2 linked regions of the Mus musculus genome follow. The protein of the gene in region 1 binds, or shares a complex with, the protein of each later gene. Links are inferred from orthologs where the notes say so. Each region holds a gene or a part of one and is shown on either strand. Other genes may lie near its edges.

Evidence for each region.
Region 2: Lrp5 (region 1) and Fzd8 share a complex: the UniProt entries of both Homo sapiens proteins name them as parts of the wnt-signaling complex. The link is inferred for Mus musculus from reciprocal best matches to the Homo sapiens genes LRP5 and FZD8.

The regions. Positions count from the first base shown.
Region 1 is NC_000085.6:3,683,688-3,687,592, forward strand, and holds the start of Lrp5 (low-density lipoprotein receptor-related protein 5 precursor), read right to left. Parts: upstream 2,878-3,905; 5' UTR 2,756-2,877; coding exon 2,668-2,755; intron 1-2,667. UniProt on the Homo sapiens protein: Acts as a coreceptor with members of the frizzled family of seven-transmembrane spanning receptors to transduce signal by Wnt proteins.
Region 2 is NC_000084.6:9,211,872-9,215,751, reverse strand, and holds the start of Fzd8 (frizzled-8 precursor), read right to left. Parts: upstream 2,897-3,880; 5' UTR 2,833-2,896; coding exon 775-2,832; 3' UTR 1-774. UniProt on the Homo sapiens protein: Receptor for Wnt proteins. Component of the Wnt-Fzd-LRP5-LRP6 complex that triggers beta-catenin signaling through inducing aggregation of receptor-ligand complexes into ribosome-sized signalosomes.

The sequences.
Region 1 (3,905 bases):
AGTGAGACCCAAGTTCCAGTGAGAGACCTTGTCTCAAAGAACAAGGTAGATGGTTCTTGAGAAGCACTTCCCCGGGTTGACCTTTAATTTCCATATGCACATGACGACTCCTGAGGAAAACCACTGAAGGCTGACCTCTGACCTTTACATGCACAGGCATGCACACATATGAACATACAAAAAGGAAAAAAAAAAAACCCAAACCATGTAACAACAGCTCCAGAATTCCCAGGCCAGATCAAAGGCCATGACACACAACTGTCCTCAAAGCTCTGCCACCACTACCCCAGACCTGGGCTGCATGTACCAAATGCTTCCCACCGAACGATATAAGAGAAGAGAGGACTCAGCACAGAGAGGCTATGTAAGCCTCCCAAAGACAAACAGCAACTGGACATGAAAACCCTATAGAGCTGGGTGGTGGTAGCCCATGCCTTTAATCCATCACTCAGGAAGCACAGGCAGGTGGATCTTTGTGTTGGAGGCCAGCCTGGTCTACAAAGGGAGTTCCAAGACAACTAGAGCTACACAGAGAAACTATGCCTCAAAAACAAAACAAAACACCTTGGTCAGATGATCACCTCCTGCTCCAACCCTGGGGCACCCACTTGCAAAGCAGGTGACAGAGTCCTCACCTGGCTGTACCCCACCCCCACACCCCTGTGCAAATTCTGCTAGATGCCTGAGTAATGACACTGTGTAGTCAAAATAAAAAGGGTTCCAACTATGTTGGGGCCAGGAGGTGGCTTTCCCCAGAGAAGCTTAGGACAAACAGGTTGCCTGGGTAATTTCTTGCACAGAGGGGACTCTGCTCAGCATTTAACCCAATATAACCCAACATGTGCTGGCTGGGCCCTCCCAGGGGTAGACAGCCCACAACTGCAGGAACCTCCTCCAGGGGGCCAGACAGGCTAGGCTGGTCCAGGGACAAGTGAGTGCTTTAGGCGGTGAGAAGGAAAGCCTAGGGCTTCCAGAATGGGGAATTCAGGGACCACTAGAACAAAGGCTTTTCTGTGGGCTCACAGCTTCAATTTGCAACAGGAAGCAATCAGGAAAAATAATTAGCTGCCCACTCACTCCCTTCTCTCCAGACTCCCAAAGCAAGAATCTCAGACAGACATTTGGGGGTCGCACAGCCAAAAACACTCAAATAAGAGCTTCAGGAAGATTCTTCTCTTTGCTTCCATTTTAGGCCTGGACTACCCCATCAGCTGGTACTCCTGGGGCCTGGCTTCCTAATGTTAAAATAATCGACTCTATTTTTGCCGCACACACCACCAAACTATAAAGATGTTCAATTTGGGATACCAGATGACAGGCTAGGGGATCCCAGAGTAATGTCAATCCTACCTAGGACAGGAAAGTCGGCTTACAAACCCCACCTTTAAAACAAATAGCTGCCCCATACCCCTTCTGCAGTCACGACCCAGGCATTTCCGGGAAGAGTAGAACTGGCCTGGACTTCCCACAGCCTGTCACAGTTTTGTCTTCGCCTTGTTTTGCTAACACCAGAGATGGCCTGAAAATGTAAACATGATCCCGAGGGAGACAAATTTAGGGGGAGACTCCCCAAGAGCCCTCTGGCTGAGCTTGAGAGCTCCAAGACTGGATGAAGCCAGCTCCCCTCGACCCCTCCCCCCAAACATAGGTGGAAGAGACTGCAGCCCAGGGAATCTGAGCACAGAGCCAGGCCCAGCCACCTCCCTCAAGTGTCTACCCTGGAAATACACAGGGGGACAGCTGTTCGCCTTAATAAGGCCCAGACAAAGGGACCTGAGGTTGTCCCCTACCCCGCCCCAAACTGCCATCACCACCACCCGGGAGTTCAAGAGTATCTGCCGGACCCTTGGACAGCCACACTCCAGAAAAACAAAACACAAACACCCGAAAACAATGATTTAGGTGGCAAGAGCCTTGCTTTAAAAACCACATGGCAATCTCCGAATTAAAAGAACATGTGTAGCGTTTCCAACTGCTTCGTTTCTCGAGAGTCCTCCTGACCTCAGCTCCACCCCTCAGGACACACCAAAAAAAAGTTAGAAAGTTCCCGAGCGGGCCACTTCCCTAAAGGTGGGTCCAACTGAGGCAGAACCATACCTCCCCACACCAAGGCACCCACGCAACCGATCTCGGGGCTGGGCACTGGTCAGCGGGGCTGGGTGCCTGGCCACCGCTTGGGGGCCCGAGCGGTCAGATGGGTCACTGGGGTCACGGGGACACCTGGCAGGTGTCAGTCGGTTTGGAAGGCTGACAGCCCACGCAGGTCAAAGCGACAGCAGCCCAGGGCCAGGCCGCCCCGCGCAGGGCTCTCCGAACTTCCTAGCTAGCAACTTCTGGCACTTCCCAGGGCTCGGTAGGCCGGCCGCCGCAAGCAGGCTCGCGAAAAGTTTTCCCAGTAGTTCGCGATAGGCCAGGCCTGTCCCGGGCCATCGCGATGCCCGTGGGCGCACTCCTGAGCGCGCCCGGCGTCCCGAGCCTTGGGCAGGTGAGGGCCCGCCCGCGCCGCACCTGGCGGGCTCGGTCCCCAGGGAGGGGCCCCGGCGGGAGAGACAAAGGGCCCGCGCGAGGTCCCCCGGCGCGTGGTCCCCCGGAGCGCGCTCCAACTCGTCCGCAACTTGCAAAGTGGCTGCTTGCGGCCCCGGCCATTGTCCCCCGCGCCCACCTTACCCGCGGCGGGGACCAAGCTGCAGTACAGCACCAGCAGCAGCAGCGGCGGCGGCGGCGGCGGAGGGGCCCGGGTCGGCGCCGTTTCCATGTCGTCCGGCGGCCGGGAGCGCCGCGCGCTCACTCGGGCTCCATGGCGCGCGCGGCGGCGGTGGATCCTCGCGGCTCCCGGCGCCTCTTGCTCCCGCCTCGGGCGCCGCGGCCCAAGACGACGCGGGAGGAGGGAGCGGAAGCCGAGCCGGTCTCCGCCCCCCGCGCCGCCCGCGCCCCCCGCCAAGCCGCGCCCTCCTGCGGGCGCCCGGGAGCCGGGCAGGCGGGTCTCTCCGGGCCCGCGACAGGAGAGGCCGGGCAAGCAGGTGGGTCACCTGCCAAGTCTCTGTACTGACAGGTGAGGAAACTGAGGCACGTGGAAGCATGACCCACACAGTCAGGAGGCCTCAGGGCTGGAAGCCAAAGGTCTCCGAAGCCAGCTTTGGGCTCTTTCACCACAACTGTAGCCACCTGGCCCAGAGACATACCGCCCCACTTGGGATGCACGCGGGAACAGGCGCAAAAGCGGATACTGCTGGAGGAACTGGGGGCTTTTACTTTTAGATTTACTTTTTGTTGTATGTGTATGAGTGTTTGCACGCATGTATGTGCACCACATGCGGGAAGGAAACCAGAATAGGGTGTGGGGGTCCCCTGGGACTGGAGTTAGAGGTGTGAGCCACCAGGTGACTGCAGGGAACCAAACCCAGGTCTCTAAAAGAGCAGTAAGTGCTTCTAACTGCTGAGCCTTCTCTCTCCGGCAGTGCTTTCTAGAACCTCACACCTTGGGCAGGCAGGTGTAGGTGAAATCATTTCATGTCCTTAGAAAGTAAGCTAATGGCAGTGTCCACCTTGCAAGGTAGAGAGGAAGGACAGAAGCTGAGGTGGTCAGGAGGGTGCCTCTGCCCTCCTGTGGTTTATGCTAGGAAGAGACAAAAATAAGAGCCCAAACAAAGGAGTGAGTAGCCGGGAAAGTGACATGGCGCTCAAGTGTGTATGACTTTACTTATAAGTCTGACATGGTGTCCAGCCTCGGGAGATTGAGGCAGGAGGCTTGCCATGAGTTTGAGGCCAGCCTGGGCTACCTGCGAGACCCTGTTTAAAAAGAGTTGATAGAGCCCTTGGTTCCCTAGTGTGCACAGCTCTCCCAGCGCTGCATAAACCGGACCTGATAAACAGAAGGAGCAAAAGGCAGGTCAAGGCTGGCCAGC
Region 2 (3,880 bases), on another chromosome or scaffold:
AAAATTTCCATTTCCTCACATGTCCTCAGCAAGCATAAGGGGAACAGTTCAGGAGAGGTGGGGGACAGGGTGGTACTTAAATCATTTATCAAAAGTCTTTTTATTGACAAAATAGAATACTTATATTTGTTCTTACAGGGTAGCCTCTAAACTTTTTACAAGTAATGTACACATTGTATATCTTTGGATATATACATATTTTACACTTTTTTTTTACAACCTAACAAATAATTATATAAATACATCCTTTAATGTAAGAAACCCGTATTTACTTGGGGTGTATAATTAAGACATTTCTTGTTTATTTAAGGCATCTGCCTGGTCATTAAGAATACCCAAACTGTGCAGTCCCACAAGGTAGCAGTTGTCCCTCCTCTAGGGTGTATGAGGGCATGAATTGATGCAGATGAAGTCGAGGGTGAAGCAGGACCTTGGATGAAGTCTGCGGTGTAGTGTAGTGTACCCTCAAGACTCATCCAGGGTATCCAGGAGGGTTCCAACTATCCTAACCCACTGAAACCATTGTCTGGGGTAAGTGCTGGGGCATCAGAGAGGAGGGGCTAAGTCTGGGAGGCTTCAATGCCAGGTACTTTGTTCTAAGGGAGTCATTTAAGTCCCCGCTGCTAATGGATACCATTAAGAGTTCATTATCATGCTAATAGCAGTCAACACTGGGAAGGGGTGGGAACCCTGGCCGGTCTGGGGTCCCTTCGCCGCCCACGGGTTCTCCATCCCCCCACTCCTCTCCGCCCCTTCTGGGCATCCACGTAGGGTTCAGACCTGGGACAATGGCATTTGCTTAGGGTAAGATACAGAGCTGGCCGTGCCAGACCGCCACGTCAGGCCGGTACTGACGTCGCTGTAGAGGGATCCCCCGCCTCCGCCGTGTCCCCCACCTCCGCCGGGCCCGGGTCCACTGCCCCCAGGGCCGCTGCCTCCAGCGCCCGCGCCTACTGCAGCGCCCTTGCTGGCCCAGCAGCACCTAGTGCACAACGCGCGCCAGGACTCCAGAGTCTTGCCGGACCAGACCCACACGCCCGATGTGATGCCCACTACTAGGCACATGAAGTACTTGAGCATGAAGACCGCGTAATCGGGCCTGCGAGCCTGGTCCGGTTGCAGGTCCCGAAGGCATGGGCAGTTGTGCGTGGCCTCCCAGCGCGGTCGGTTGTGCTGCTCATAGAAAAGGCAGGCGACAACGACGGCAGCGGGCACCGTGTAGAGCACGGTGAAGAGGCCCAAGCGGATCATGAGTTTTTCTAGCTTGTGTGTCTTAGTTGGGCCTCCTTGCTGCTTGATGACTGAACGGATTCGGAACAGCGACACGAAGCCAGCTAACAGAAACATAGTCCCAATGAAGAGGTAGATAACCAGTGGCGCCAGCACAAAGCCGCGTAGGTTGTCAAGGCTCTGGTTGCCCACGTAGCAGATGCCCGCCACCGGGTCGCCGTCTACGGAGCTGAGCGCCAGCACCGCGATGGACTTGACGCTGGGCACAAGCCACGCGGCCAGGTGGAAGTACTGCGAGTAGCCTGCTATGGCCTCATTACCCCACTTCATGCCAGCTGCCAAGAACCACGTGAGCGACAGGATTACCCACCAGATGGAGCTGGCCATGCCAAAAAAGTAGACAAGGAGAAAGACCACCGTGCACAGCGCGGGGCCAGTGGTTTCATAGCGAACATGCTGCTCGACTGCACCCAGCTCCTCGTACTCGCCGCGCGCGCCCGGGCTGCTCGCCCCCGCTCCCGCTGCCCCTGCGCCAGCCGCCGCCGCGCCGCCCGCACCCCCAGCTCCGCCAGCACCCGGAGCGCCGCCGCTGCAGGCCACTTTCTCATGTCCTGCCACCAGGCGCACCAGGTACCCGACAGACACGAAGAGGTAACAGGCGGAGAGGAATATGATGGGCCGTTCCGGGTACTTAAAGCGCTCCATATCGATGAGGAAGGTAGAGACAGTGGCGAAGGTGGAGACGAAGCAGAGCACCGACCACAGGCCGATCCAGAAGACGGTGAAGGCGCGCTCATCCTGGCTAAAGAAGGGGTTGTGGCAGGGCAGCGCACAGTTGGCGATCTGGCCGGTCTTGACGCGGTTGTAGAGCGGGTGGCGTTCGCTGGACACGCTCACCATGGGCGCGCGGCACTGGCACCCCGGCTCGCAGGGAGCAGCGCCGCCACCAGGGGGCCTCGCCTTCCCGCCGCGCGAAGGGGGCGCAGCCGCCGCGTCCCCGCTGCCCCTACTGCTGCCGCCACGATGTGGGGGCCTGGCCCCTGGCGGGCGGCTGTGGCCGCTGCCAGAGGGCGGCTGCTCGCCGGGAGGAGGCGGCGGAGGCAGGCGGCGCGGTGGGCTGGGCGCGGCCGTGGTGAGGTCGGTGCGGTTGTAGTCCATGCACAGAGTGTCCGGGTTGCCCTGCTCCGGCAACCGATCGCAGCGCATGCGGTCAGGCCAAGCAAAGCCGTACTGGCGCATGAGCGGCGCGCAGCCGGCCTTGGCGCGTTCACACACAGAGCGACAAGGCGGCAGAGGCTTCTTGTAGTCCTCCAGGCAGATGGGCGTGTACATGCTACACAGAAAGAACTTGAGGTCCGGGGAGCACTGTATCTCCACCAGCGGCCAAAACTGGTGCACCTCTAGGCCCGCCTCATCTTGCGTGTCGTGGTTGAACTGGTTGGGCATGTAAGTGTAGTTGTAACCGATGCCTTTGCACAACGGCACCGTGATCTCTTGGCACGCCAGCTCCTTGGCCGAAGCCGCGGCAGCGCCGCTAGAGCGCTGTAGCACCGCCAAGGCGGCTAGGAGCGAGGTCACTTCCAACAGGTAACCCCACTCCATGCTGCGCGCTGGGACCCCAAGTCCTCCTTCTCTAGGCGGCGCGCAGGAGGGCTCTGCAGTGAGGAATCTGAGAAAAGGGAGAGCGGGTCGTGTCCCACTTTTCTCTGCAGAGGAGAATAGCAACAGTCTATCTCCTTTTCAGGCAGCAGGGTTGGAAACCTAGGCTGGAGTCGTCCGGCCCTCCCCCACGCCTCTCCTGGGGTGACCGCCAACGCGCCACAATTCCACAGGGTCTGTCCCGCGCCCCCTGAGTCGCACTCAGTCCTCCCGGAGCGGAGTGGTGGCCCCCGGGCTCATCCTCCCGAGTTCGTGTAGGACCTTCTGCACGCTCAGACACTTCGTGTGGCTCCCAGCAGCGAAGACTCGGAGGACGACGCGGCTCAAGTTTCCTTTCTGGCCTCAGTCAAGATGGCTGTGTCTGGCCTCTAGACTCTCGGGTCAGACCTAGAGGCCCCTCTTCGGGCCCGGAGGGTTCATGTCCGTTCCAGGCCGCGCCGCCACTGCCAGAGTTCCGGGCCCTCCTCTAGTCAGGCCGCAGCCTTCTCACTCCTGCGTCGGTCCTCTTGTATCTGCCGCCACCAAAAGTCCACGCCGCGTTCTGGCCACAGTCGGGCGGGGTGCAGGACGTGCTTTCTTGCTAGATCGACAAACAAATCCAGAGCAAAAGACAGAGAGGACACCTGAGCACCTTGGTCCCAGCCTCCGCCTCCTCCGCAGGAGCTGCGCCCTTCGCCCAACTTCCCGGCTTTAGTCTGCTAGCGCCTCCCGGCCGGCTCATGAATATTTATACAGCCTGCACTTGGTCTCCTCCCTCTTCTGGGTTCACCAATCCCTGCGCAACAGGGCGGAGTATCCGCGTTCTCAAGGCTCAGCCTTCCTTAAGGAAGTCCGTACTTTTGGGTCTGCTTTCCTAGCTTTGGGCGGATGGAGAGTTTGTTTTTGGTCACCTTGGGGTTGACCGCACGGATTGAGCATTTACTCAGACTGTCCCCAAAGAGCTCAGTGCTTCAGAGATCTTGGTCGCATATCTCTGAGTCTGCTCCTGGGC